Linked DNA regions of Lepisosteus oculatus. The main gene of each other region encodes a partner of the protein of the gene in region 4 in a complex. Links are inferred from orthologs where the notes say so. Each region holds a gene or a part of one and is shown on either strand. Other genes may lie near its edges. The genes, in order: drc1, iqcg, iqcd and drc3.

What was found.
Region 1: drc3 (region 4) and drc1 share a complex: the UniProt entries of both Homo sapiens proteins name them as parts of the nexin-dynein regulatory complex. The link is inferred for Lepisosteus oculatus from reciprocal best matches to the Homo sapiens genes DRC3 and DRC1.
Region 2: drc3 (region 4) and iqcg share a complex: the UniProt entries of both Homo sapiens proteins name them as parts of the nexin-dynein regulatory complex. The link is inferred for Lepisosteus oculatus from reciprocal best matches to the Homo sapiens genes DRC3 and DRC9.
Region 3: drc3 (region 4) and iqcd share a complex: the UniProt entries of both Homo sapiens proteins name them as parts of the nexin-dynein regulatory complex. The link is inferred for Lepisosteus oculatus from reciprocal best matches to the Homo sapiens genes DRC3 and DRC10.

What each region holds. Positions count from the first base shown.
Region 1 is NC_090697.1:51,221,136-51,228,271, forward strand, and holds the start of drc1 (dynein regulatory complex protein 1), read right to left. Parts: upstream 3,010-7,136; 5' UTR 2,873-3,009; coding exon 2,745-2,872; intron 2,180-2,744; coding exon 2,095-2,179; intron 1,643-2,094; coding exon 1,530-1,642; intron 974-1,529; coding exon 790-973; intron 384-789; coding exon 246-383; intron 1-245. UniProt on the Homo sapiens protein: Component of the nexin-dynein regulatory complex (N-DRC) a key regulator of ciliary/flagellar motility which maintains the alignment and integrity of the distal axoneme and regulates microtubule sliding in motile axonemes.
Region 2 is NC_090708.1:16,856,474-16,864,463, forward strand, and holds the start of iqcg (dynein regulatory complex protein 9), read left to right. Parts: upstream 1-4,985; 5' UTR 4,986-5,013; coding exon of another isoform or gene 5,014-5,033; 5' UTR 5,034-5,093; intron 5,094-5,126; exon of another isoform or gene 5,127-5,519; intron 5,520-5,603; 5' UTR 5,604-5,611; coding exon 5,612-5,755; intron 5,756-6,484; coding exon 6,485-6,609; intron 6,610-7,331; coding exon 7,332-7,460; intron 7,461-7,573; coding exon 7,574-7,655; intron 7,656-7,846; coding exon 7,847-7,990. Other genes in the region: rpl35a (large ribosomal subunit protein eL33), read right to left, coding at 268-291, 908-1,052, 2,438-2,590, 3,528-3,570, 4,595-4,704, 5,014-5,033. UniProt on the Homo sapiens protein: Component of the nexin-dynein regulatory complex (N-DRC), a key regulator of ciliary/flagellar motility which maintains the alignment and integrity of the distal axoneme and regulates microtubule sliding in motile axonemes.
Region 3 is NC_090717.1:14,355,295-14,363,240, reverse strand, and holds the start of iqcd (dynein regulatory complex protein 10), read right to left. Parts: upstream 3,009-7,946; 5' UTR 2,617-3,008; intron 2,232-2,616; 5' UTR 2,159-2,231; coding exon 1,481-2,158; intron 1,027-1,480; coding exon 793-1,026; intron 282-792; coding exon 210-281; intron 1-209. Other genes in the region: tpcn1 (two pore channel protein 1), read left to right, coding at 3,978-4,086. UniProt on the Homo sapiens protein: Component of the nexin-dynein regulatory complex (N-DRC), a key regulator of ciliary/flagellar motility which maintains the alignment and integrity of the distal axoneme and regulates microtubule sliding in motile axonemes.
Region 4 is NC_090714.1:17,590,757-17,598,489, forward strand, and holds the start of drc3 (dynein regulatory complex subunit 3), read left to right. Parts: upstream 1-4,718; 5' UTR 4,719-5,028; intron 5,029-6,093; 5' UTR 6,094-6,125; coding exon 6,126-6,285; intron 6,286-6,619; coding exon 6,620-6,736; intron 6,737-7,148; coding exon 7,149-7,315; intron 7,316-7,733. Other genes in the region: TOM1-like protein 2, read right to left, coding at 4,314-4,365. UniProt on the Homo sapiens protein: Component of the nexin-dynein regulatory complex (N-DRC) a key regulator of ciliary/flagellar motility which maintains the alignment and integrity of the distal axoneme and regulates microtubule sliding in motile axonemes.

The DNA.
Region 1 (7,136 bases), on a different chromosome or scaffold from region 4:
GCACTTGTGAAAGACGCATAGGGGTTTTCATGACTCATTCTTGAAATCCTTGAAGCATTTACCATGCTGTCCATATTTCATGAAATACTTAAAAGATGTGTGAAGGGATAAAGCTAACAAGGTTGTCCAGTTCAAAATAGAAAGTAGTAAATAAAACTTCTGCCTCTCCCAAAAATCCACAATGCCTTTTAAGCATCATTTGTTACTGTCAGGTAGAAATGTCAATAGAAATGTATCTACGGTACCTCAATCTGGTCCAGTTCTTCTCTGTAGGATTTCATCAGATTCTTTATCTGTTCTTCCATTCTCTCAATCATGAGGTCGATGTCTTCTGCTTGTTTCTTCAAGTCTTTAACGTAGCGATCATCACTTGCTTTCAGTTCCTGTTGGCAGAGCATGGCTTGTTTTGAAATAGGTTAAGTCTCAAATAAACATATTTGTACAGTACCTCTGTGTCATAACTGGGAAACAGCTAGAAATTGAGTGTAAAGAAACCACAATCTCTCCTCTAAGAACAAAATCTAAATAAATGAAAGAAAACCTTTTGTTGATTTCCATACACATAAAATAGTAAACAGTACTACAAGAAAGTTTAAGGTTCACACTCAAAGATGGAATTTTTAGGAAGAATAGTCATAATTATGTACTCATTATTTTTGCTGGGTCTCACGTGGTTTGTAACTTTAGATAAAAACATTTTTAATATTATGTCCTTATGTCCCCCATGACGCTGCGTGGGATAAAGTGGTTAGAAAAAGGATGGATCCCCATCATCCAGGATTTCCTTACCTGCTGTAGGTCAGTAATGAGCTTGTTCTTCTCCTCAATAAGAAGAGCGCATTGCTGTTGCTGCATGTTGAGTGCTTCCCTCAAGTCCTGAGGGATCTCCTTCATTCTGGCTGATGTCCACTTCTTTGTGATTTCCTCAAACTTCTCCAAACTGGTCTTGGCTTCACTTTCCAGCTTCTCTGTTCTTTCATAGGGCAGAATGGGTTAGATACAGTATGTGACATAGTAGTAAATAACTTCAGAATAATCTAGTATACTGTTGAGAGGGAATAGTTTGTGTATACTTCAGATAGCAATTCTGAAGGTCTTTCACATCATAATGGAGAATCTTCTGACATTTTGTCAATTACATTTACAAAAATAAATGATTACAGGTAATAAATGAGTGACTAGGAATAATTCATGGACCATTATAAAGATATTTTAAAGCTTACTGAACAGTCTTTCTACAACACAATCTAATCAAACAAAAGTCATCAAATTGTTTGAGAATCCTGTATTGTCAAACTCATGAATCCGCTAAAGTTTATAGTATTTCTACTGTAATAATAGATGTAGCCTAACATTTTCCAGATATTGTATTTGAAGATTTGTCTCTCAGAATATGAAGCTATTTGAGTAAAGAGTCATGTAAAGAAAGATTAAAAAAAGCCATTTGTCTGAGACTTTTAAAGGTATTGTAATTTCCTGCTGAATGGCTGTGTTTGTGAAGGAGGGACTCAGCTATGTTCCTCATGTACCTCTGCCTCCTTGCCTCCTCCTCTTCAGTCCTCCTCTGAGACTCTTTCCAGTCTCCTGCTACCTGAATATTGGTGACCAGCTCTGTCCCATCAGCCTGCAGTTTAATCATTCTCTGTGAGAAATAAAATACAATGGCTCAGTCATAGACACCTGTGCTCTACATGGCCTAAAGCTGTAGTAGAAAATCTATTTGTATAAAGAAACCATACGACACGAAAACAAAGTGTGAGTATCAGAATCAGCTAAATGAGATAAGGCACTGTCGATAATACAAATAATAACAGCTTTCAACACAATTCTCTACTATATTTCATTACAACATGTATTTACACATCTTGTGAAGCCTAAAATTTGGCATGGATCAAATTGAGGAAATCGGGTCTTTCAGACTAGATAATGATCTATTATCTATTTAAAAAAACTAGGGATGACAACCTTAGTGCTGCTGATAAACATATTTTTGATCAAGTCTTGAGGAATAAAAATCATATTACAGTTGGAATAAATTCTGTAAGAGACTTTTAATATGTACGATACTATTTGACATCCATAAGTACCACCAACCTTACAGCTCTGCTCCACCTGCTTCTGGCTTTTTCTCATTTCTTCCTTATCTTTCTTTTCATGGCTGCTGTCTCCTAGAGCTTCTCTGAGTATTTTGACATGAATGTAAAACAGTTCAGCATGCAAGAAAAACAGTATGAGTTCATTACGAGGGTTACAAAACCCAGAGCATTCAAAGCCATTTAGAGCACCCAGAGTTCAGAGCCAATCGCTTAAACACAGAATGCAAGGCGCGACTACACCCTGGACAGACAGATAATTACCCTAACCAGCATGTCACCCGAGAACTCTCACATTGCCTTGGGGAGATCATGCAGGCTCCGCACAGAAGGTGCCCCTGTCTCAAATCAAGTGCTCTTAGCCAGCAGCGTCACGCTTCTGTGCCGCCATAAACAACATACAAAACTTTCTAAGCCTTAGTTTAGTCGTCTATTATCTGCGAGACATAACAAAAGTTAATTTAAGCATTTGTCTAACTCGGGAACTGAATCGAGACATGTTTCGCTAAATCGTCACAACTACACGCGGTGCTTAGGTATGAATGCGTTTTACTATTTCATTATTGTCTCCATGATTCAGTTTTAACAAACAAACATAGCGAGTTCAAGATATAGGCATTAACACATGAGTTGTTTCTGGCTGTTGGATACCGTTTCTTCGCCTCAATCCTAGCTGCTATCCGCAGGCGGCGAGCGGCTATTCGCTCCTCCGGGTTTTCGGACTGCACCGATGGTCCACTTTCCTCTCGCTCTTCCCCTCCATTCTCGGCCTGATTCATTTTTCAAAAAGTGCAAACTAACGTGTAAGTAAATGTCCACTGATGTCTTTTAATCAATGCTACTATCTGCCAGGCGTCATCCTACAGTATGTATCACCGACACATCAAGGAAGCTTTGTTGTTTTCTTTGTTGCTAGGATACTGCTGCTGTTACGTCATCTTCAGTAGAGTTTAATGCAATCTCTGTGGGGCTGCTTTAGCAAATACTTTTTTCCTGTTTTATTTCTTTATTTTTATGTATTTATATACAGCGTACTGACAATCTAATTCATATATATATATACATCGTTGTAAAAACGTCTTAAGTTTATTATCAGAACTTTCGTGCAGCAGCTGCTATGACAGGTAAAGTCATTATGCTGATTAACATTTGAGTTTGATCAACGGGTCTATTGTACTGTAAACGTCAGGGGCTGTTTGTGTAGAAACGACACACTGCACATCCCTGCCACATACTTTTAACCATGCTGACTTGTGAGATTCTTTCCAACTTTCCAGTTGTAGAGCCTGGACAAGCATGTCTGTTCACCTGTCAGTGGTCTGCATGCAGAGTTAACAAGTAAATTGAATTTGTCGAGGCCACTGATGTCCCATCCTAATCACAAAATTATTTAGCTGGGCTCAGGTTTGACAGGTAGGGCATCTATGGTTTAACTGTCATTCTCTCATTTCCCAAGAAAGCTGTTGTTACATGAGCACCTGTCAGTGCCTGCACTGTCAGGCTGAAAGTGAATCACGTCTGGATGAGCCTGCAGGAATATTATGACAAATTTTGTATCGCCTAGCTATTACGGAATAAGTCATAACAGCAAGAGCAGCAAGCAATGTCCCAGAGTTTTGACATTAATAACAGAGTGACTTTAATCTGATGCGGAGATCAGTAGCTTCTAGCCCCAGACCTTAAGATATGTATGATGATCTTAGCAAGGTGTGGTTACTCACGGTCTCCTAGACTGGGGCTTATCATTGACGGACTGGCTTTGAACTGGTTGTGAATACACTACAATAGTGCATCCAAAACAATGATGACACATCGTGCTGTTATCTTGAGAAAGTAAGACTATGGGTTAATTTTTGTATTTTTCTTTCATGATTTTCACCAGAGTGCGGCACGGTGGCACAGTGGTTAGCATTGCTGGCTCACAGCACGGGAGACTGGTTCTGGACCTGGGGTGCTATCTGCTATTTCTCTGTGTTTGCATTTCTGTTTCTTAAGAACTTTATTTTCTTTTCACAAATACAGAATAACACAAAAGGAAAAACTGTACAGTATTATGCAGTATATACCTAAAACAGTATACTGTATATGCACACATCTAGAGAAAATTACAAAGCCAACAGAAATATAATTGCTGAGGTGCATTATCTCACGTCACTTTGAATCAATTCCATACACATTTGCTGATGTTTTTTCCATGAAAAATGCTATTTTTCCTTACATGATTATCAGTATCACAGGGTTATGAGACATGATCCTACGATCCACAGATTTTCTGCTTCCTCCTTCCCTACACTCCATAGATCTCTGAGATAATAGTTGTCTTTAATAATGACCAGGCTACCTGCTCCCTTAACTGGAACCTCAATGCCTTTGAACACCCCCATGTTCCTCACCCTTCAAGAGGACATCCTTTCCACTGTTCACTATAGCCCAAATCCTGTCAAACATGTCAGAGGGTAGCGTTTGACATAATAGTGCATATTATGAAGGCAGGGGTCAGGGAAAAGTGAAGCGAGGGGGCCTGTAACCAGTCCTCAAACTGAGCCCAAAAAGTCTTAGCAAAATGGCAGGACCACAGGGGATGGGTCACAGTCTCATCCTCACTGCAGCCCATTCTAATACATCGAGGGCTGGGAGTGAGACACCTGTGGTACAAGAAGGCTCATGCCCGTAAGCACTTGTGAAGAAACTCCAGACTAAGTCTCTGTGAACGTTGCACAGAATCCTAGAGGTTGTGTGTTTCCTCATCTTTCTTGTTTGGGCTTCTGTTAAAATGCTCACAGGGGTCAGCAGATTGTTATGAGGTGCGACAAGATCTTCAAGTTTTTTCTGCATTGAACATGGCCAGTTGGATGGATTTTTTAATCTTTTAACTCTCCCATTAAGTGCAGGGCATGTGTCAGAAAATGGGGCATCCAGCTTGGGTCCGATACCCCCCACTTCAATACCTACCCAAAGCCTAGCAAAAAACATCAGGTATGTGGTTGAGGTCCTGTTGCGTGGGTTTCCTTCTGGTGCTCTGATTTCCTCCCAAAGAGAAAAATATACTGGGAGGTTAATTGGTTTCCAGGAAAATTCACAGACTCTTCATGATAGAGTCTGTGAACACTGACTCTATCATGAAGAAGGCTCAGCAGCGCCTTTATTTCTTGAGGTGCCTCAAGCGATGGGGGATGCCAATACATGTGTTGGTGAACTTCTACCGCTGCACTATCGAGAGCATCCTCACCAACGGGATCACCGTGTGGTATGGCAACACCTCTTCGCGAGAAAAAAAGGCACTGCAGAGAACTGTCAATATGGCCCAGAAGATCATCGGCTGCGGTCTCACCGAGATTAAACAGCTCTATGAGGACCGCTGCCGTGGTAGAATTCTGGCCATCACAGAGGACAGTCACCACCCCGGGCATGAGCTCTTCACCCCACTGCCCTCAGGCAAGAGATATAAGAGCATATGGTCACTTACCACTAGATTCTTCAATAGCTTCTATCCACAAGCAGTGAGACTGGCGAACACATTTAGCCATCCCCCTCGGACCACACCTACACCATCACCATCTACCTCATTGTAATTTATTTATTGTACGTCTCCAGTCATTGTTTACACGTCTGTATTGTTTACATTCAAACTGTCTGCATGTTTACTTGCACATTGTCTATTGTTTGTTTGTACATTGTCTTGATGCACTGTTTGCACTTTGTTTTGTTTTTTACACTTGTTTTACAAACGAGAGACTTTCTGTAAGTAAGAATTCCATTGTACCAGTACCGGTTACATATGGCAATAAAGTTCAAGTTCAAGTTCAAATTAGCCCTGGTGTGAGTGTGTTTGTGTCTGTGTGTACACTGCTGGACTGGCTTCCCATCCAGGGTGTATTGCACCTTGCGCCTGTTGCTTGCTTGCCAGGATAGGCTCCAGCTCCTTCACGTGTATTGGAGAAAGAGGTTAAGAAAGGGATAGCTTTTCACCAAATGTTAAAACAATACCCTAAACATGTAGACTTCATTACTCCTCAAGCATGCAGAGTGATACGTTTTTTTGATGTGTTTGTAGAGAATATATGTACGTTTCACATACATCATCATCAAGCCACTGCTAAATGAAGACCACACTCAACACGGGTATCTATTTACCTACAGGGTCCAGGGAGGCAGCCTTGATAAATAGGATACAGGTCTGTACAGAAAGAATGTTAGTAGCAGTAGCTACTGTGAAATGCATATCATCAGTGTCCAGCAGATGGCGATCAATACAACAGAGTAAAGTCACACATAAAAAGAAGCAAGACTTCTAATTTTGACAAACATTGCTGCAGATGTCCACAATATATATGTATTTAAACTAGGAATACATTTTTAACATCCTTCAATGTGCCGGAAAATTGTATTTTTTCTAATATTTTAATTTTTTCTCCTTTCCTTATAATGACTTTGAGCTGCCAACATTCGCCTCATAATCATCTCAGATTATGCTCTTTAAAGACTACACAAAATTTGTAAACATAAGAACATGAAAAAGGCTACAAACGTTCACCCATCTAGAATGTTGTGTAGTTGGGCTTTAATTGGTCCAAGGATCTCATCCAGCCATTTCTTGAAAAACACTCTTTGGTAACAGCTTCAATCACGTGACATATTCCTACAACTGCTCTGTTAAACACGTGCCCCCTTTTCTCAGTTTTTAATGCAATAAGTGTCCAAAGACATATGCTTTCATAACTCAGTCTCAACTGTCTCAGTTTTAACAAGAACTCTTACCTCATGACATATAGAAGTTTCCCACCCTTTCAATTATGTATTTTATTGAGTAATTACATAAGAAACCTGAAGCACTGACAAATATAGAACTGGTAATGTTCAAACAAAATGCAATGTTACACAATACAGAATTTTTTTATTATTATTTATCTTTATTAAGCTTTAAATGTTATGTCCTTAAAATAGTCGCAGTAATTACAAATATTAAGACCTGCTACAGACTCCAGATACACTTACAACTCCAGTTATAAAGGTGTTCACCAGAATTTGGAGAACGACAAATTC
Region 2 (7,990 bases), on a different chromosome or scaffold from region 4:
TATCTTGAGAAACCCAGTAAAATGAAACTGCAGGTGTAAAAGGAAGCCATGGAAAATCAGCCCCACAATTGATAGTGAAACCCCTGCTTGTCTAAGACAGCCCAAGTTTACGGGCACACATACACACCCCTCGAGGAAGTGCTCTCTACTGCAGCTTCTCAGCACATCAGATCTGCGCAGCAGCAGACAGCTCCTTCAGAAAGAAACACTGCAGACACCGCTTGATTTGGACCAGTCCTTTTATTGTATGTACACAACCACAGCACATTACACCCGTGATGGATACAGCATCTGCAAGAGAAGGAAAGGGATTAACAGTGACAGTGCAGTGTGACGCCGCAGATCTTGGAGCTACATGGGGGAAGTATAGCTGTCAAGCAGGAAGAAGACGGCTGCCTGCGACAGGTGAGCTGCATGTTGGTCAAATGCTTTAGCAAACAAAGTGTCCGATTACTGTAAATTACAGCTGCTTAACCAACAGCCCATGCAATCCATTTTAATAACATACTCATCTCCAAAGACATCCCTAATTGATTATTTAAAAGATTAAGATAACAACAGTGGAGTTCGCCAGAAAGGCTGGAAAAAGTTAAAGCAAAAATCTACACTTCTTCCTCAATCATCCTGTGTTATAGTGGTATTACCGGGAAGAGGTGGGTGCATGGAAAAGGACAGGCAGAAAAGGGGAAAATCTGAGTCTGATGTCATTTCAGATGGGCAACAGAATGACAACACAAAGCTAAGGAGCGATGAAGGAGGCTGACCAGTTTATAAGTGACCACAGCTTTGGAAGGAGGGATGAAGAGGGTGTCGTTCACCCTCCCTCCAGTAGCTCACCCAGTGGTAGTAATGATGAAGAGGCGAGAGACAGACGCGAGGAAGAGCAGAGCAAAGGCTGGACACTCACCACTCTGATCCTGTGCCCAATGGCCTTGGCGGGCAGGTTGCTGCTGAACTTGGCGCGGATCATGCCGCTGTTCCCGTGAGCGCGCATCACCTTGCCCCAGATCACGCGCGTCTTGCTGGGCTTGCCGCCAGGAGTCACTGTGTTCCTTGAGACAGAGGGAGAGCGAGAGAGGCCTCAGTCAAACAGCAATTATTCAGGCAGCTCCAAAACTGCAGATATCTTCTAACACGGAATGAAAACGAGCACAGACATAATCGAGCAAACGTGACCCCCGCAAACACAAAACTAAATAAACAGCAACTCTTTAATTTGAATGAGCGACGGAGGGTGTATGATGGGATCTGAAGACAGAGACAGGAAAGAGAGAAGAGCTGTGAGGGACAGCAAGAAGGCTAATGTCAATCTTGATAAAAATGGCATCTGTTTCTAAGCAAAGGATAATCTGATAAGGGAACAAAAGCCAACCCACCACTAAATGCGGCCACACATCCCCTAACTAACGGCCTTTGACAGAAATGATTTTATTCTTTATTTGAAAGCTGCTCTTCCTTCAGTGCTGCCTGTAATACAGTCATATTCAAAACATCACAATTCTGTATGACACAGGGCTATAAACAAGAACAAGAACCATATTTTAAGCACAAGAGGAAAAACGCAGTTTGCAAGGGAAACTGCCCTGACACACAAACACATTCAATGAAAAATTTAGTATTGGCCCTGTCTATGAAACAATGGTAAGTACCTCATTAAATGTTAAGTGCATAATTATACATCCCTTATATGTCAAGAACACCTATTCTTTTAATATTTAATACGTTTTTTGGAATAACAAGTGGCAGGCGAAATGATGAAGTGCCTGCAGGTACAGAGACAAGACAGTTCTACATGCAGATGTGTATTACCGAGCTGCTAGCAGTGTGCCACATGTGTAAATAAGTTTAACCTTCTCCAATTATTAAACACATCATACAGATAAAAAAAAAATCTTAACACTGTTCCAGCTGTGCCTTGTTTGAACCATGCCAGCTCAATCCTCCTGAAACAGACACCAGACACAAAATCTGTGTTTGCTGCTGCACTTAGAGGGCCAGCAGAACTTGGCAGCACATCCACTTCAAGTCCAGCAGCAAAAGAACAAATATGGACAATGCCATAAAACTATACAGCACAGCAGCACCATAAATGTGCTCGGTTTTTCAGAACAGATCTCTAAACAAAGAAGCACGTTTCCTGTTACCAAATCCCTAAACCTTACCGTCCACTAACTGGATTCAATAACTGAAACTGGAAATCTGCCTGCTTAAAGAAAATGAGATAGAGCACTAAAGCAGCTGGGCGAGGTCTTCTATATACAACATATATACACACATGAGGACTTCCCACTACCCACTAGTAAATGTGGACCCAGGTTGGGGAACCGGCTTAAGAGAACTTGTCAGCTTCTCTCTGCAACACTTAAGTGGCATACCAAGAAGAACCTTCACAGGCACACCCAGTTTAACACTGGTGCGCCGGCAGCATTGGACTCACTTCTTGGCCTTGTAGACGTAGGCGCAGCGCTTGCCCAGGTAGAACTCGGTCTCCTCGCGCGTGTACACACCCTCGATCTTCAGCAGCGCCGTGTGCTCGCGCTGGTTCCGGAGGCCTCGCTTGTACCCTGTGAAGATCGCCTTGCACCACAGTCTGGGGGGGAAAGAGACCAAGAGCCCTTGTCAGAAGACAATCACAGCCCCAACAAGAGACTGTCCACCCTGCAGCACGATCCACACTCTTCATTGCCCCTTGCAGACACTGCAAATGTTTGTAATTTTATTAGATAGGATCACGGTTTTGATACAAACTAGGTATCTTAAGTGAAGAGCCAACTGGCAGAGATCATTACTGACTGCATGTAAAAAAGACAGCACTCTGATCCATGTCAGGTTTTTAACTGAAGGCTCCTATACAAGTGGGAAAGCGATGCTTATCGCACAGCACTGCTGAAGGATAAGCAATCTAGGAACTGAAGACTGAACCTGAAATCACTGCACTGCATTGCAGTGGCCAAGCTCGGGACACCAGAATCACTTACCGAAGGAGTAATTAGCAGCCAAAGGCTCCCACTTGGATATTAAACTTCACATCTACTTTCTTCAAATACTTGAATCTGTACTGCACTTTTCATCCTAATTTGCATATAGCAGGGGATCTATTTCATCCATCAACTGAGAGACAGCTGCAACTTTCTGCAACCCCACCTCACTGTAGATCAGGTGGAGAAGTGAGAAGAGCATATGGAAGTTAAAAATCACTGAAATGCATCACACCGGGTAATACAGGCAATCACTCAATTCAGAACTGAGCTCTGCTTGTGTGTAAAATAGCCTGCTGTTTTAAAGGGTATATCCTGTGGAATAAAGCACATTGGAGAAGTGTTAGTTTAAACCAGAGATAACCCACCAGTTTGCCACAGCACAGTACCGATCAAACACAAACCCTTCTGCTTCCAAAAAGAACAGATTCTGTTCCTGTTACACTCCCACTGCAGGAAGGTCGATTTTTAAAATTTATTATTCAGCAATGCTCACCAATACAAAGGCAGCTCCAAGAATACCTGATTAGTGAGAAACAAAGGACTCACCTTCCTGGCATTGTGAAGCTTGAGTATTCAGTCACAGCCAAGCCTGGAGATGGACAGGGAGCACATAATCAGCACACAATAAAATCATGTTAGTCTAAAACACAAGGAGCTATACACAGATGACCACTTCTAGGTACGAAAGTTACTTTGGGGGAAAAAAACAACACAACCCAGCTAAGAGAGATGGACCACGGCTGAGGATTTTAGCTCTACATCACGGTAACGCACACTGTATCAATAGTGACAGCTCCTGTGGGAAATAGCAAAGGACATCCGTTTTCTTTGAACACGTACACATTTGCACGAGGAACTACTATCTACACGAAACACATGTAATTCATTTTAAAAGACACTATTGCTGAAGGTTCATGGTCCGGGCAACACTGTGCACTTTCACGATTCTACCTATCTGAGCTGTGAGGGACATGTAACTGCTGGGAAAAACTGCAACAAGTTCAGCCACGATATTACATTAAAAGGGCCTGACCGCCACAGTTCCGGTTAGACACAATCGGAAGCAAATAAGGTGTCGGACTCGGCAGTCGAGAAACGAGAATTCATACATACACCCAAAACGGCAGCAACCGGGGACGTATATGATTTCGGGGTACAAACACCGTGTATATGACTACACACTGCATAATAGCTCCCACCATTAACACTCACTGACCATACAGCAAAACTTCAGTCAGTAAGGCAGAAATGAATAAAACCATCATTTTATAAGAAAGATAAATGGTTTCCAATTTTAAAAATCACACCAGGGTTTTGACAGTTACAGGGCTCGGAGACATTCTTGTATTTTTAAATGGGAATCTAATGAATAAAATTGAGTTTGAACGGCCGAGGCTCAGCTCCTGCGAAGCCGGGGCATTTTACATTTCACCCGAGGGATTCCAAGCTAAATCCACTGAGTATCTCGGCCATCTTCAGCTCAAAGGCTACAGCACTGGTAAAACAAGCCGTATAAGACTCACGGCTGTTTAAGATAAGTAATATTATAGTTACTATACTTTTAAAAACTATTTAAAAACCGGTTGATTCTAAACGCTGTTTATCTCTCTCACCTGTACTGATATCCAAGATGGAGGAAAAAGGGGGGTCCTTAGGGCATGCTGGGAAATCAACACCATCGTCGCACGAGTCGTGACTGAAACAGCGCCTGACTAGAAATGTGCTTTTAAAAGAAGTACACTAGTTTCTTAAAAACATTTTTTAGTTTTAAAAAATCTCAGAAAATATTTAAGTTCCATATGTCCAAAACTAATCATTCGCTTTGCGTTTACAATTTGTTGTAACAGGCAATTTTATAGACTAGCCTTTTTACTTCGCTTACTTGCATTTGTTCCTCAGAAACTAAATAAAGTTTCTTGTCCACTAAAATAAACTAAACATTAAGCTTCAAGTATATACTTCAATATATATATTGTATTTACTAATTTAACATGAACAAAAAAAAGTACATGCAACTGTTAAGCTTGCTCACCACGGTTGTGCGGTTGCCATGGTGATCGGTGTCAACATCGAGCAATTTTCACGAGTTGGAAAAGTAACCTGACTGAAACGGTGGTTAATCTTTGCGACAGTATTATTATTTTGTCTTTGAAGTTTTAGGAAAGTTATTGATCAGCAGTTACAGACATCTATTTTAACATATTGGATCGATTCATTTCATTTTTCTTGCAGCAGAATTTTGATTTTGAGATTGGTAGAAATTGGTAACCTATTTGAAAGTGTTAAAAGACTATTTGAAGTCGCTAATGGGGAATGGGAAGTATCTATTGGACCTGCAATGCTTACTGACCTTTCCAGCGTGCACACTGTTAATATTAAAACTTTGATTAGATTCCGGTTTTTAGTGCCGAGTGGGCTTTAGAAGGGACGCCCTGAGACAAACTGTACTGTCAGTTACATTGATATTGACTTTGTCAGTCACACCGACTATACAGTATTAACGTACAATATCATTCAATCTGAGTTTACAGTATCTGCGTAAGTGACATTATTGAAGCAACCTGCATAATTGTACAATCTGCACACAGATCATTTGTACTAAGTTCTCATTTGCATTTGCAGTGCACACGATGTCTCTCCAGTCGTATGTGGAGCAAATCCGGCTGTGCACGGTTCTAGAAGACGGCGCAGATCAACTGGCCGTGCTGGGTCACATCATGCCTGCCACGTACGAGGGGCGGCCTGACGCTGACTCGGTACTCTCTCACCCACAAGTTTGTATCTGTCTCAATGTGTCATGTCTGTCAATGTGTCTCTCGATGTGTTTTCCTTTCTGACATGTTGTCTTCGTGTACTAATATATGTCTCAGAACCCGTAACACTGTCCGTTGTGTGAGTCTCTCAGATTATGCTGGGTCAGGTGTCTCAGTTTCTCTCTCTAGCTGTATGTTGTTCACGTCTGTGGCGAAGAAGACATGCTATTCTAAATTCTAGTTTATACTTATACCAGCCATAGCTAAATAAATACAATTATATTTTATTCAGGAAATCCCCAGAGGGGAAGATTTTAAAAGGCCTTGTTGAATTTTGCAGTGGACGTGAAGGGTTTAGGAGTGTTTTATGCCCCTTTATGCAAACTGAAAGTTCAGTTTTTGAATAAAAGTTGAGAATCAGTCATTTTCAATATAGACATATTTAGATCTATCTGAATTTGGAGGGCAGCCAGGGTTGAGGACAGGAGGTGCAGGTCAAGAGGTGTGTGGGACAGAGGGAATCATGGGTTGAAATGATGGAGGAGGAGGAAGTGGATGCTACATTGTCTACAGACCAGAGTGAGACCCGTCTTTTCATGGTTTAATCTGTCAGATTATGTGTGTGTGTTCAAGTGTCTTTGTGTCTAGGTGTCTCAGTGTGTTTGTCTATCGGATTGTGTCTGCTCACTTTGGGCAGGTGTTGCAGCAGCAGGGGCAGAGATGTATTTCACGGAGATGATGTAATTGCAGTTGCAGGAGAGGGCAAAGCTGGCACAGGTCACGGGGGCGCTGCAGAGGACCCAGGTGGAGCTGAGCCGCATGCTTGAGCACAACCCCCTGACCCCCGAGCACCTGGTCAAGGTGCAAAGAGACAGGTCAGTTTTGCAGTGAATGGGCTCTCTCTCTCTCCTGCTGTCTTACTATCTCTCTACTTCCTCTCAATTTCTGGCTCTCTAGCTCTGCAAAAATCTTGCATGCGTTACGGAATTGCATATAACCTAAGTCCACTGACCTACTCCTCTGTGGAGCATTCCTATAGGTCAAAAGTCTGAAAGATACAAATAAAAAATACATATGATACAATGTTGAAATGGCAATTTATTTTTGACCCTTCCCAATCTGTTACTGACAGTTGTTGATCAATGTGGCACACACCATTTGATATGCTCTCTATCCCATCTAGATGTGCTGTTTGCAAGCTCTCTAGTGCCTTACAGGAGCATTGGCACTGATTGAACGAACATTATGACTCTCATTGATGGTGCTGTAGGGTCTCCTGCTCGGCCAGCTCAAACCACCGAATGCTACTGGCATCTAGCATGCTGGGAATCCAGGCATCGAAGAAGATCATGATCCTAGCCCGAATTGTATTGGATACACGACTTAATCTATGATTCAGAATGGTGTTTTTACAATTAAACCACCTGTGAGATGAAATTAAAGTTAAATTTAAACATTGGACAATCAAATCTCTTTGCTTCTCTTTCCCTTTTCTTTCCTTACTCTAATTGTCTGTCCTTCTCCATCTCACTCCTCTCTCTGCCTTTTGCTCTGTGTCCCTCTTTCTCCTCTCTCTGTCTTTCTGTTCCTGTCTCAGGCAGTTTGCAGCACAGGTGATCTCCGACGTCCTGGCTGAGCTGCAGGAAAAGGGCACATTCCAGAGCTTGCTTTTGGCTGTCCAAGCGGAAAAAGAGAGGAAGGCACACCTCCACGACATCATAGTCAGGTCAGCCTCTCAGTTCTAGTCTTCAGAAAGTTTTGGTCTCAGTACCAGGCAAAGTGGACATCGGACATTGGCAATGACTTTGTGTGGGCGTGTCTGCATGCGCTTTTTGGCAGGGAAGAGGAGGGGAGACGCAGAACCAGAGCTCTGCAGAGACAGCTTTTGGATATCCGCAAAGAGAAAGAGCTTGAGCTGCAGGTATAAAAACACATTCCAATGAGTGACACACACTATTGCAGTATAATAACTCAAACATGCCCTTGCAAGGATGTACCATATTATAGTGTAATAACATGGGCATGCCATCATTACATACAGTAATAGCTATGCTTTATAACTTATCTGCTCTGTGTCTGACATGTCTCTCTCTCCTCACCCCTCACCCCCAGAAGCGGGAGGAGATGATCGCCCACATGAAGGACCAGCTGCAGGAGATGAAGGCCAAAACTGGGCTGGAGGGGAAGTATGTGAAGAGCAGCGCGGAGCTGCAGGTGTACCAGGGCCAGAAGCTCAATGGACACGCTGAGCAGCAA
Region 3 (7,946 bases), on a different chromosome or scaffold from region 4:
TGACAGAAAGCCAGCCTTATTCTAGAATAATTCACCCTTGTTCGGAAGGCTGCTGTGTGGCTCGGGGCTGGGAGTTTGTGTGAGATATTTGTGTGAGTGACTGAATTCTAATTCAGATATATTTTCTATTCTATTGATATCTGGGAATGAGCAGTTCTCGCCATAATCATGTGCATGACTATGGATGAAGGGAAAAAACTTTTCTCTACCTGCTTTTCACCCATGTCCACATCATATTTCTGGATCCAGTTCTCAATCTCTGTCTCCACTTTGTACTTCCTCTGTAGAGAAGCAGGTTATACTTGAGAAAATGAAATAGTTGCAGGGCACCAGTTTCTAAAACTTTACATCATAGAACTATTTTTTCTGAAAATGCAACATTCACTGTTTAGCATTATGGCCACCACTACAGACCCTCCATCTGAGGAAAGAATAACATTTGCTCATATACAACCATAATGGTATTGTGATTAAAAGGACATCTGTTTCAAGAGGAAACCTATGCAAACATGAAGAGAGCACACAGGCAGACAGCACAGCCGGGCCAGGATTGAACCCAGGGCTCCTTCGCTGCTACTGCACCACCGTGTTGCTCTCAAAAGATCTTCCAAGCCTCAAAAAATCTCTACTTGGCAAACATTCTAAGCAGAAATAACAAAATAACTAAATATACTGACTGAAATCTGGCATGAAATGAAGCCGCAGGCAATTGAGATTATTTTTGTATTAGTACTGTAATTCGGTTCAAACTGGAGGATGGGCTCAGGTCCCTGGAACTGAAAAGAAACGCACCTTCCTCAGCGCCAGCTCGCTCTCGCGGTTCTCGGCTATCAGGCCGCAGAGCCGCCCGCGCAGCTGCCCCATCTCCTGCTGCATGCGCCCGCAGCGGCTCTCCGAGGCCTTGTGGTCGGACTGCGTCTGCTTGTCCGCTTCCTGCCGGGTTCGCTTCAGGAAGTCCTCCGAGATCTTCTCCATCTGGTGGAGGGAGCCCTTCAGCTTGCGGATGACCTCATTCTTCTTGGAAATCTAAGCAAGGAGACAGGGTGGCTGGTGTCGCGACTGGAAACGTTCTCTGGGGAAATCTTCACAGCACCATAACAAACACAGCACAGAATTTCCACACCACACTGACCACAGGAAACTGAAAATACCAGCCCTTCCAGGCTTGGGTTGGCGGTATGAATAAAGTATCAATAAAGTATCTATCTATCTATGAACACTTATGCACACTGAGTGTCTGGACAGAACACTGTATATATGAACATATGTACAATATATGTGTGCAGGCTAGATACAGAGGCTGCCATCACGGCACATCATTTCTGTCTTTCCAACTCCATGGGAGTTAACACCGCCATGAGGAACACTTTGGACTTGAAATAAGTCAATGCAGCCCTGCATTCTGGTTATGCTCTTAAAAGGACGTAGGGACAGCACCTGGACTGTCAATCTCCTAACGCATAACGGGCCCCTTGCCTACCTCAGCATCCCTGTCCCGGGCGGCCGCAGCCACCTCCCTCTCAAGGGTGGAGATGAGCCCCACGTTGTTCTGGTGCCGGAGAGACACCTCCTGGATGTACCGGCTCCTCTCTCGCTCCTCCGCGGGGCCGGTCAGGAGCTTCTCAAAGAGCAGGCTGCGCAGCTCCGTCAGCCCCCATGCCAAACCCCACGCCAGTCCCGGAGCCCCCCCGCCCGCGCCCGCCTGCCCTCTCAGATTGTGGGTGGCACTGGGGTGTGCCCGCAGGTGCCTCAGGACGCTGCGGAGGGAGCTGCGGAGAGCCTGCTCCAGGCCCGGGAGCCGGGGGTCTTCGTTCTCGCCCCCCAGCCCCTGACGCTGGCTCCTCTCCCGCAGGGCGGCCAGCATCTGCCCCAGCCGCTCGTGCTCCCGCAGGGCCCCCGCGAGTTCGGCCCCCAGCCCCACCGACAGCCGCTCCAGGCCGGACAGGACCGTGGGCAGCAGGGCCACCAGCTCCACCTTCGCGATGCACTCGTCCAGAACGCCCGCGACCCGCTGCGTCTCCAGGGAGCTCAGCTTCTTGCGGGCCGGGTCCAGGATCTTGAGAGACTCCCTGGCGCCGCTCGCGCGGGGCTGAGGGCTGGGACTGGCGGCCTGTCGGCAGCCACCCCCCACCGGCAGCACAGCCACTTCCATGGCCATGAGCCGTCGGTCTCCAGGCTCCTCTGCTCCTCAGCAGACACCGCTCAGCTACAGCACAAGGTCCTGGGGTCACCTGGAGACAGAACGACACGTGAAGGAATCAGGAGGAGCAGTTTTTCTTCACGTTTTTCTTCCTGAGAACTTCCTGAGAACTTAACTGAAAGTTATTTACAGTTCAGCAGAGAAAACGTGTTTAGGAGATTACATGATTTTTAATAATATTACACTGACGCCTCTAATTAACTTTGCAGTTTTACTGTTAATAGCTAAATACACAATCAACACAATGAACTGTAATATATTATTTTCCTTTTTTAGACCATGAAGTTTTATTTTAAAAAGTCCAGTGCAACATAGAATACAGCTACGAATAACGGACCAAACACATAACACAAACACATGTTTCTTAATAAATGTATGCATAATTAAAAAATAGACTGGTGCTATATCTCACCTACCTCAATGGGAACTTGTTTCTGCTTGCAGTTTATCTGCGTTGCTAGGAAACCGCAATGCAGGCGGCGCTTTGACAGCCAATCAGCGCTTGAACTGCAGCATCGTGACCGGAAGCAATCCCTGTACGTTATTGGGAATGTAGTTTGAATGGTTTTAGTTTCTCACGGCCTTTCCAAAAAAAACATTGACCCTAGTGTTAAAGCGCAGTTTTTATATACATTTCTAACTGCTTTATAATGAATTATACCAGACGACGTTGCTTCGGCATTTAAACTTTAGACGCAAGCTATGCTTAATGCATGTGACTTCCAGAACGGCTTAACTGAGAGCTAAAGACCTTATTTTCTTATACGCGACGTAAAGACAATTGTAAAAAAAACGAGTCAGAGATGTGCGCGTCACGTGCCATTTTCTCATCCCCACGTACGAGTCGAGGCGCTTCTGATTGACAGGTTGGTTCTCCACTCACAGGGCAGAACCGGACTCAGAGAACAGACACCAGCCAATAGCATCGCAGCAGAGGCGGGCCTGTGCGCTGGTTGTCTTCAGGCTCTTTAATGCTGTGCAGGGTCTGGTTACAAAATGTAACAAGAATGTTTTTGCGCGATGTTTTTTAAAGGATTGGTATGTTTTTTTGGTTCCGCGAAGGTTACCTAAAAGCCTGCTTTTATTTTTTTCCGTTTTGGAAGATATGCACGTTGGGGTTAGTGGAAGCTAGCTTAACTCAAAACATGACAGCTCTTCACTAGTTCAGAATAAATCGTCGTGTTGTTATTATCAACAACAGACAGAAGTTGAGACCGTTTTTCTCTCTGATATCTTAACTCAAGAAATTAAACCTAAAGAAGCTGTCGGAGGAGCTCTGTTTAGCGCTATAACGTCACAAAATCGGATAGTTTTGTTACTGAATTTTTATCTGAATCATGTTAAGTCGTTTAAATGCATGTACACGTTAGAAACATTGATGACTCCGATGGTCGGTACATGAAATACAATCTGGACTAGATTTCTTTTAGTAAAAAGAGATTTATAGCGCTTGAAATACGATCCGATATTTGCTTTTATTTTAGTGTCCTGTAGCGGCGTTGGCACAATAAAACGCACTGGGTTTTTAAAACTAAACCTGTCAACAAACTGAAGCTAGACTCTTCAGTCTCTTCAGTTTGGTGGATGTAGCAGGTGAACTGCTGGCTCTTGGTTTTGCGTTGCAGTTTACCACTCCGAGACGATTGGCATTGATTATGCAAAAGGAGCTGGAGAAGTTTTGGATAAGCCAAACGAGAAACCCACTTGGTAGGGTGGCTTGATTGTGGGACAGACAGCGAGCGAGGGTCGCCCTGCCCCGGACAGGCCTTTTCGGAGGATGGCCAGCAACGCAGATGACGACGTACCGCTCATCCTGACCTGGGACGAAGCCAACTGCGGACTGCTGGGCGGCGAGGAGCCAGACAACGCGGAGGTGACGAGCGAAAGTAAGTTTTGCTTCCCTCCTGTTGGGTGAGTGATGGTGCTCTTGGACCGAGTCCCGGTGTGGAAATTTCGTGTTCACCGTTCAATTTGCAAAGACAGGACCTAGCACGAAATGATAGTGCACGCCCAGAGCTAAAGGTCTGTTGTGTCCCATAGCTGCCTGTCGTGTTTCACTTAAAACGGATTATAATTGAATTCGTTTCACAGTCTACACCCACTGTAACGAGGTACATTCTGTCCATCATTAAAGGGTGGGTTTGGAAGATTTCAAGGCCTTCACATAATGGCTTTCCCCCCGAGCTTTGTCATAAAGTGATCTTTGTACCCATTGGTCTTTTTAATGCTTTAACTTTTATTCCTCTCTTTGCTTTAAGTCCTTAATCAAATGCTTTTAAAACTTCCAATTTAATCTCTCACTATATACCGCTTTCTAATGCCCGTCCCTGAGGAGTTCTGAAAGCTTTTTACAAATTCTGACACTAAAGCAACACAAGTTTCATTGATAGAACGGTGAAGCTTTGGGTCCTCTAAGAGCGATTTATACTTCACAGCAGTTTACAGCCTTTAGATGTTAAAACAGTGCGTTTCGCTGTGCTTTAGCGTTGAAACGGATTTGTTGGCACCTTGCAGGGATGCCCAGATGCGAGTCTGGGGCTGATGACCTTTTTATAATTGGATTGTGTCTGTTCTCTAATATTCCTAAATTTGTTGTATCTCAACTGATGAAGGCATCAGGAGCTGTGCCAATGGGACAAGTTCTAGGCTCTTATGTCACCATTTCATTTTCTACATGGAAATAAAGGAATTGAGAAAGAAAACAAGGCTTTTTCATACCAAGTATCTGTGTCTCATCTAAATGAGTTAAAACAACTTAGTGACCAGTAACTGCGCCTCTTGTTCATGATGCTGATTTGGATGTAATTTGGGAGATATTTCCGAAGATCTGGAATGTGATACAGTGCATGTAAGAAGTTCTGCTTCCACCAAGATGCACTCCTCCTGGGACTGGTCACAAACCCTGTATCCATAGCAAGCAGTTCATTGAAACAGAGGCCTAAACACTACCCACACACAAGGAAAAGATGAAGCCAAACCTTGTTTTAATTTCCAGCAAATGCAACTGAAACTGGTTGTGAAAAGAAATCTTGAGCCAATGCAGATGTTTAAGGATGTGGTTTCTAGTCCATTACTAGTGGAGGAACTTGATGAATTAGAGATCGGATGAGGTCTTGAAATTGAAATCCTCAGCAGATGACCATGCAAGGAATCGCAGCAGCAGCAAAAACATCCAGTGAGAATTTGGTGAAATGCAACATGTTTTTTTGCATGTGTTTGCAAATGGCTGTGTGCTTCAGTTGACCATTGGGTGGGTGGAGCGCGGTGCTGTTGCAACACCCAAGGTTTAGGAAGAGGAAGAGGTTTAAAGCGAGGCGTGATTAGCGACCACAGACGTCTCGCATTCCAGCAGCACAGGAGTGGAGGATGTCCTGGGCAGATCGTCAGGATGTCTGCTTGGCTCTTGTGTGGCAGTTTGGAAAAGCCAAAAAGCAGCGCGAACCCCTAGACTGCTCCACAGAGGGCGCCAGAGCTATAGCTAGCAAGCCAGCTGCTGTCTGTGCTAATCACGCATCTGGAGAGACTCTAGACCTCCATCATCTGCATAGCAGGATACAACCCAGGAAGAATGACTTTGTTTTTTTTTTAATTGTGTTTACTGTTTAACCTCTTTCAGGAGAGAGAAAGGAAAAGCACAGAATCTACCAGGCACAATTCAGAGTATTTCACTAGAATGGGTTACACTTGGATTAAAGCACAGAAGCATTTTCGACTAGCACAACATGTTTGTAGAAAATATATGCAGAATAAGTCTCCTATTCAAAAATCTCATTTCATGTTTAACCAGTGGTGAAATTGGTCAACAGTGTCGGCTGTATTTGGCTGTATAAACATTTTAATTGACATTTAAAAGCAGAACAGATGGATCTGCCCCAAGATGTGAAAGATGCTTAAGCTGGATGTCTTCATCCACGCTTTTTGTGCAAGACTCACAGGTGTCCCGCTTGCTGCTTGACGTTGGTCAGTGTCATGCGCCAGATAGTGTTTTTCACGCTGATTCACCCTAGAATGCTAATGGAACATTGTCACTGCAGATGAAGGCTAACAAAAGCCATTTGTCTACAAAAGAGAAGTCACTGCTAATCTAGCCACCAGTCAGTGTGCTAATTTACAGAAGAATATTTTACTTGCAGCTCATTAAAAAGTCAAGGTGTTCTAGGAAAAGGTGTGGTTAAGAAAAGTGGGTTATTTTTGGGATGTACTTCTAAATCACTGTGTGTTACCCTGAGCAAATCACTAAACCATCTTCAGCTTTATGCTTTGCAATGTTCTTACTGACTTTGCTGCAGCTGTTGTTCTTGCAACTTTTGGCATCTGCTACAGTAAAGTCACTTTGGACAGAAGTGGTTCCCGAGTGACTGAAGCGTCCATGAACTTCAGCTGCATTAGTAAACTTTCAGATTATAGTCCCCCCACGGCCTTCCACTGGAGTCACGATCCTGGCACAGAAAAATGGTATTAGTTCACTTGTGCTGTTTTTTAAATGGACAAATGTGATCACTTTTTGTAGTTTGGACAATATTTATGATGTGTATATTTATTTTATAAGGATGCATATTGACGTGGACAGGATTTCACCCTCGAACAGGGTGACATCATGTGCCCAATGTGGCTCTGGTTTCTTGTAAAGTGGGATACACAGAGCAACACACTGCCACGTTCAAGTGAGCTCAGATACACAGAGCTACACACTGCCACGTTCAAGTGAGCTCAGATACACAGAGCTACACACTGCCACGTTCAAGTGAGCTCAGATACACAGAGCTACACACTGCCACGTTCAAGTGAGCTCAGATACACAGAGCTACACACTGCCACGTTCAAGTGAGCTCAGATACACAGAGCTACACACTGCCACGTTCAAGTGAGCTCAGATACACAGAGCTACACACTGCCACGTTCAAGTGAGCTCAGATACACAGAGCTACACACTGCCACGTTCAAGTGAGCTCAGATACACAGAGCTACACACTGCCACGTTCAAGTGAGCTCAGATACACAGAGCTACACACTGCCACGTTCAAGTGAGCTCAGATACACAGAGCTACACACTGCCACGTTCAAGTGAGCTCAGATACACAGAGCTACACACTGCCACGTTCAAGTGAGCTCAGATACACAGAGCAACACACTGCCACGTTCAAGTGAGCTCAGATACACAGAGCTACACACTGCCACGTTCAAGTGAGCTCAGATACACAGAGCTACACACTGCCACGTTCAAGTGAGCTCAGATACACAGAGCTACACACTGCCATGTTCAAGTGAGCTCAGATACACAGAGCTACACACTGCCACGTTCAAGTGAGCTCAGATACACAGAGCTACACACTGCCACGTTCAAGTGAGCTCAGATACACAGAGCTACACACTGCCACGTTCAAGTGAGCTCACCATTCACCAGACTGTCCTTTGCTTTGCTGTGTTCATCTCAGTAATTTGGATTGTTGATGTGCAGTCTAAAACATATCCAGTCAAAGAGCATTTTAGTGTGCTCAGTGTGTGTGTCATCTTCTGATTCTGCTCTGGGGTGAGACTCGTACTTCCATCCACTCCTTAACCGCGGGAGCTGGAGCCTGTCCCAGCAGGCACCGGGCACACGGCAGTCCTTCACAGGGCAGATACAGGCACACGCTCACAGCTGGGCCAGTTTTCCCAGAAGCAGATTAACCTGCCAGGATGTCTTTGAAACCGGAGCACCAGGTGGAAACCCACACAAACACGGTGTGAACATGCAAACTCCATG
Region 4 (7,733 bases):
AGTGCCACAGCAAACAGCATTAAAAACAACTTTGTTTTTGCTCATATTTTGCTTTAAGACAAACTGGTCAAGCCACTTTGGGAATTTGCTGGTCCAGTGAGGTTTTGACTATATTATCATATTTATTCTTCAGATACAGAGTGTTGGTAGTGTGTAGCACCTATAATCTAGGTGTTTATACTGTATGTGCTTGTGTTAAAATCACAAGGAGATCAACAACTTCCTGGCATGGTAACTTTAGAACACACTTCAAAAGGTTAAAAATAACCCTAATTCTACAAAGATTCCTTAAATATCAGGATTCCTTAAATATGTTCCATCATAGATGTATGTGACATTTCACATCTCTGCTGCACTTCTTTGCCAAATGGGGATCAGTGTGGAGGTTAAAATGATACGAATACGACGCCCAGATCTCCACTGCACAGAAAACAGGCTACTGCACTTCTACAAGACAGTATGTCAAGAGTGGAATTGCTTGAACTCAAAAGCCCATCCTTGTAGGACTGCACTGCTTGCACAACATCACAGAAGAAAGCTGCAGATGCTGAAGTAAAAACACTGCACTTCCATCAGGTCATTAAATTGCCTTCTGCTTCTGGGATATTGCTTGGTTCCGTCTCCATAGTGACTCGGAGCTCCAGATTAAATTATGGTGCAAAGAACAGGCAGGGCACTTTTAATTGAGTAAAGGCGAACACCCCGCAACAGGGAGACCAATGCATGAAGCACAGAAAAGCTACATCATTAAAATGCATTGGGTCAGGTGGTCGCCTGGTCCCTGCCAAAGAGGGAAAAGTGGCATGCCTGCTTTTGTTTAAGACTGATTTTGCAGTTATTGCCGTCAGCTGCTCACAGAAAACATGCTGCAGCCTGCCCAGCCAAACCTCTGCAGACGTCGAGAGAGGTGACTTCGAAAGAGGAAAACGGAGAGCCCTGTGGACATTCCCCGGATCAGCACAATCAAGTGCTCTACTCATAAGGCTGCTGTTCTAGAGGGGAGGTCTTTGACCTCTCCTGGATCGGACAGTTATAAAAACACGAGGAAGCCTGCAGACCAGAGGACGCCATTCGAACCAGATATCTCATCTGGTTGCTAATCATCACTGGCCAGAGGCTGAGACAGCAGTTAAAGACAAAACACACACGGCTTTTGCACACAACTCAAAATCGATTTTTTTATTTGCATATAAATTTATAACCGTGTCTGCGTCAGTATCATTAATCCTGTTGTGCATAAAGTGGATCAATGAAATATTCTGGCTCTCTGGTAGGGCGTGTGCGTTAATTCCTTCTTTTCTGTTGACACTCTGCAAAGAGGATGCAAAAATGACACAAGATTTGGGTCTAATGCATTCAGAAACATAACACTTGAGATGAGCAAAACTACAAACATCTGTCTGGGTTCTGGAGCAGCTGCTATGCTTTGCCAAACTGTCTTCCTCCCATCTGGAAAGCAGTACACAACAAATCCACATGCTGATGGGGACTGGCAGGATTGGCAGGGAGAGGCTCTCATAAAGTATGTGGTTGGCATTTGCCTGTAAGCTATTAAATACAAACGATAATTACCAGTGTTGCCAGAAGTACTACATCTAAACAAATGCTTCCAGATTAATCTATCGGTCAATCTGATCTGGAAAGGATGCACATTATTATATTAAATTTAGACTTAAATCTCTGTGACAGCTCTAGTTTACAACAGCCTCAGAGGCTTAGGGTACTGTACTTCACTACCACACTTGGACACAGCATGAACATGTCTGGACGTCACACAACTAACACAGAAAGATTTCTGACCTCCAGAAACACCAGCCTCGCAATGTCCTGTTGTCACATCAGTGTAAACACAGGCTTCTTCGCTCCTGAGCCACACTTGTGAAAGCTAGAAAACCAGTCTCTACAAACCCTGTTTTAGGCAGGGTCTCACACAGTAAAGGTCACTCTTTCACGAACTCAGTCATCCAGTTATAACTACAAAATGAGACTGCAAACTGGAAGAGTAAAACTGACAAGGAAGAGCTGTCTGATATATTGCAGTCTTCTCAGTCCCATCGTGGATAAGGCTTTAAAACTCCACAGTGTTCAGGCCTTACTTTTATTCTGTGCACACCAGTGTTATCTTCTGGGCTGAGTCCAACCCTTATAGCACCACCGCTATTGCACCCAAGCTAATAAAAGCTGCTGAGGAGCTCCAGTTCTTATCAGGGCATATCTCAAAAAAGATTTCAAGAGCAAAGAAGCCCTGCATCATGGAGAAACACTCTCCACTGCATAACAATCAGCACACCAAGCAAATGCAGCGGAGCACAAAAATAACCGCAGAACTCACTGCTCAGATTAAACTGGCCCCATCATAAAGGACTCACAGACTGTGACGGCAAAGAAGCACACTGCCCTTTTGCCCGTGAAAAGAGCAGTCCCTGGCCCTGACACATGAGACCCACTCAAACTCATTCAAGCAGCGAGCCTGCGGTCTCACACTCTTATAGCAATCGCACAATCGCACAGTGATTACGGCACCGCACAGTGTGCCCGCAGTTACACTCCACAGGAACACAAGTTGTGATAACCAGCATTGTCAGATTTAATCATTCTTTTTGGTGTGTTAAGAAAAAAACTGTTTGTCAGTTCTCTGGACAACAAAAAAATCTGTGCAGAGAACTGTCAGAATGACAGATTGACCACCATTGTACAATACACACTAGCTCATCGGCAGATCCCCACTGCTCAACTGCTGGTTAGGAGCTACCAAGTGAAAATGAACAGAAACTCGCTTCCAGGAGAGGATCACCTTTGCAGAATATGAAATAATGAGAGATGGTCAGCAACTGGGAAGCCACAAAAAAAACAGTCATAATTGTCACAGGAAACTACAGAGAAGTGGATTTAAAACTAAGAACTGGAAACAGTACTTCATGCAAAGGGCTGTGGGATTACTGAACATGTTACCCAGCAACATTAGCTGCAGTTGATAGCATTCAGGAAACAGCTGGATGACATCCCTGGATCAGTGAACTCCTCATTGCCGACCAGGCTAGCCGGGCCGAAGGGTCTCTGCTTGTTTGTCTCCTGTCTTGTGTTCTGATGGGTTTACTGCTGAGGTCTCAGGGCACACGCTCTCGGACTGCGATCGCAGAGATCCAACTGTATTTTCTTCTTTTGCTGAACTTGAAGTAGGCAGTTGTAAAACAGCCTCTACAACTTTTGACATTATTTTCTCTGCATTGTGAATCAGCTGTCGAGCCCATAGGAAGAAAGCTCAGGGCACCTGAGAGAAAGGATCTCTTTCTTACGCACAGGCATGAACACTAACATACTGTTGCACTAACGCCCCGATATTTTGCCAATGCTATGTACAGTACATGGCTTCACCATACAAAAATGGTTTTAACTGAAGGGCACGATGAGACTACAACTCACCACCATCCGCTAAAGGCGGTTCTAAGGCCGCCCCCTATCTCTACAGTGGAAATACGCGACTCTTGTATTGAATTTCCTCACTGATTAATTAATCGACACACCGTGAAACGCTTTTATTCTGATTTCCCCGACGAATACACTGATATACCCCCACAGCACTCATGCCTTCTCCGGAAGCAAGACTTCAAAAGCGTGAAAACACAAGGATTGCGAATCGAGGGTAATAAGTCCTGTCGCCAGAGATCCTGGTACATTACATCACAGCAAGATTGTACATCACGCAATTCCAGGCCAGCTCAATCTATTTTCTATAGCGCAAAGAGTGTGTTTGTAAGTTTCTTAAGCATACAAAATAGCACGTATCTCGGGGCTCATTTTACGACACTCTACCGTAAATATGTAACCTGTCTGGGTAAAGTTACGTTTACGGTATCTCTGGAAAGTGACGTATTTAATGGACCCCTCAGTTCATCGCCCTTAACAAAAAGAATAAAGCAGACACCGTCGAACAAAGTGACTAACTGTCGCTGTTGTGAATGGCGAGTTTCAAACTGTAATGAGAATATTTCTCTCCACACAGCAAACATTTTCAAGAGCATCGCGATAAAAACGAGGCAGGCGATACCCGAGCTCTAACACACTTCAAACATACAGAAGACGATATTTAACACATTATTAACAAAAACAAATCTTATTTCACTCTGGAAAATAACCATAAAAAGCCAACCACATTTAGACAGGAGCTAGGATAGAGCTGGTAATTCAATTAGTTGCGTGACATACAACACACAAAACAGCTCTTTACACTCCTCCAAAACACGAAAATACCTACGCAATATGATGCGTATGAGTGTTAAAGCTCTGAAAACACAAACATAAATCACAATTACCTATACATTGCCCCACCGGAGTGCTGTACGGATTTCCCAATAAAAACTCCATCTTGATGACAACAAACAATCCTCACTGACAGGCACTGAACAGAGGAGCTCCCGCTGTCTCCGCCCCCCTGAGCAGCTGATTGGGCGGCGGGGCTAAAGCTTCGATCTAATTGGCCAACCTCCACGTCGTTCCAAGTTAAAGCCTACGCAGACGCCACCTCTAGGGGGCGATCGCTGGTGGGCATACCGCAGGCCCTCCCAGGGGCCGGCTGGCCTAAGGCGATTTGCTATTGGTTAAGATCTGCGCGATGGACCAGCTGTACTGATTGGTTGTTCACCCCAGCCCTCGCGCGAAGCAATCGTTCTGATTGGCTGAGAGCGATGTAACCCTCCAATCGGATTGGTGCGTAAAGGTCTACGTCCTTCTCGGCGGGGCAGGGGGCGGGTTGATGGCGCTTTTATCTTTTATAGGCGTAGGCGTTTGTCAATCTTGCCTAAATTACAAAAATAAAATGTGGAAATAAAAACATTTTATTTACAAGGATTATCAACAAGTTATTGTGGAAAACGGAGGTTGTAAAGCCTAGGTTACATACGTTTTTATAATTAATTTAGATGCGTTGAGTGTTTGGTTGCTAAGTAACGTGAAAAGCGTCTGGCAATAGGCGGGTCTTCAGAGAAGAGTTTAATTTCTCAAAATTACGATTTACTAGCTTTGCAACTGGTATGTTGGTGTCTTATTCTTTTTTTTTAAAACTAAACTGCACTAATTGCTAAAGTCTTTGAAATAAACTAATTTGATCGTGAGAATATTATGTGTATCGGTATTATTCATACATTTTATATTATTATTTATGCATAACTTCATGTTAAAAATGTCGAATCCGTCATGTCTGTGCTCGTTTTCTCTTGCTTGTAATTTTATTTGCGAAGTGAATTGCGAATATTGTTGTTTTTCCCGTTTCAGTAGGTAATGAATGAGTAAACACTGCAATGCCGTCTAGAAAAAGTAGCTCTTTACAACAGGAACCTTGAATTTAAGATGCCTTTCTCTGTAAAACATGATAATTCAAAGATGCCTCCCTTCCGTTAAACGAGACGTGAACGTTTGCATTAGCATTTAAACACCGGGCGTATTTTGGGATCCTATTTTCAAACTGCATCTCTTTGTGTCCCCTACTAATCTGTCTCCTTCTCCTGCATCAGAGAGACCTCTAGCTACAAATTTAGCTACAGCGAAGGCGTGCAGCGCTGCACAAACTGACATTTTGGGTACAGTCGGATTGCCTGCTTCATGAATTAGTAGTGAGATTGTTAACCAGACCTTGACCACGCTGTGTGACAGCTGTTTGAGATACTGAAAGTCCCTCAGCCTTCACAGTTCAAAGACACAGCATCTTGATACCTGAACAGCATTAATATTTCACCAGTGCGGTCAGGCCTCAGAGGCAGACTACACACTGCAAAGCACAAACTGCTCCCATTTGGTGGCATCAGGCCTCTGTGTCCAACAGCTATCACCTTTCAGCATATATCCTCCCAGTACTCCAAAACGAACACTTCTCGTCTCTTTTACTTTCTGTTCCAAATCCTCTTGGTTAAAGAGCCACAGATCTTATTTTTCTGGGAAGGGGGTGGGGCAGAATGCTCATAGGTGAAGCCTGTTTATCATGGGTGAAGCAATCATTAGGTGGTGGAGCTCATTGTCTTCCAGTCTTTAAAAAGTGGTATCATTTAATGCAACCGCTCCAGGAGTTGCTTGTGTGTGTGTGTGTTTTTTGCCTGGGAGCAGGCAGAAGCAGTAACAGGGCCAACGAAAGCATGAGCCGGCTGTACGACACCGTGGAGCCCAGCGTGGTGGATGAGCAGATGCTTCAGAAGGCCGTGGAGGAGCAGGGACCCCAGGACCAGGCCGGGAGCATCGCCAAGGAGGAGGGCATCCAGTATGGAGAGGTGTGCCAGCTGCGCCTGGACTACAGGAGTGAGTCCCAGGGGGCGCTGGGGATGTCGTGGGGATTATTGGTTAGATGTGATGCAGCTGTTGAGTCCTTGGGCAGATTTATTTAGCAAAGGCCCTATTAGGGCAACCTCCAGGCCATCATAGAGCTTCTTTCTACTCTGGTTAATTACACACAACAAGTACAACGAAGTGGCGTTACATGTTCATTCTGTTGGGGAGTCTGAGGGGCATTAAAAAAGCAATTCTGCTGATCCTTTTTTTTGGTGGCTATGTTTTGATTTTACTGTTGCATGTCAGCACCAGCTGAGAAGACTGTTTTCTCAGGAAAACTGTTGCTCTTTGTGCCTTTTCACAGACATCCTGAAGATTGACCACCTGTGGCAGTTCACCGCGTTGACTAAGCTGCAGCTGGACAACAACATCATTGAGAAGATCGAAGGGCTGGACTGCCTGACCAACCTGGTGTGGCTTGGTAGGTAGCAGAGTACCAGGATGCAGGGAATCCCAATTTAAGGATTAGACACTTACAGACCAGACCCGTGGTGAGGTGCAATACAATTAACTCCATTTTATCTGCTGTGTTCATTTGCAGTAGCTTATGACAAGGTCAGAATAGTTGAATGTCAAGAAGCCTCTATGACTGAGATGCAAGTTCTCCATCGTTAATATCTCCTATCAAAATGTGAGGTAGCATTACAGTTATACACCACAAAAATAATGTCTGACTTATTTCATTTGTGTTTAAGTGAACATATTTTACAGGACCTCTTTTCCCTCATCATAACATTCAATGAAATATACTCTGTAAAGTAAATAAAGTTATTACTAAAATAAATATTCACAGTGTGACTTTTACCAACAAGCTCTACCGCTTTTTCTCTCAGACCTCTCTTTCAACAATATTGAGGTGATTGAGGGTTTGGACTCTTTGGTGAAGCTGGAGGATCTAAGCCTGTACAACAACAGGATCTCCGTCATCGAGAATATGGACTCCCTTCAGCAGCTGCAGGTCCTTTCCCTGGGAAATAACTGCCTGGCCCAGCTGGACAACGTAAGGCTCGGCAATGAAGTCACACTCAAACGCCCGACAGACACCTGTTTAGTGCCTGAAACAATTAAAAGGCAGTGAGCTTGAAGTGGGCGGGTTGGGGCAGCCTTTCTAAACTTCCTCATTCTCCCCCTGGGTGATCGCAGGGTTTGCAGCTGCATTCGGAGACACAAAAACACATCACTGGCAATTATAGTGTACTTGAGGAGGGCAGGACGCAATAGGTAGGTGATTCTAAATTTAGAAAGAAAGTTTAGTGGGACTGAGCTGTTTCACATTTATTTTGTGTACAAATTTTAATATTTAGCTTTAAATATTGTCTTGAGAGGGAAAAAGAAATGTGATCGTACAAAAGTGAGATGCAGTTTGTTTTGTGACAAGTCTTTCACTGTGAAAGAACTTTGCCAGGTACTTTATTTCA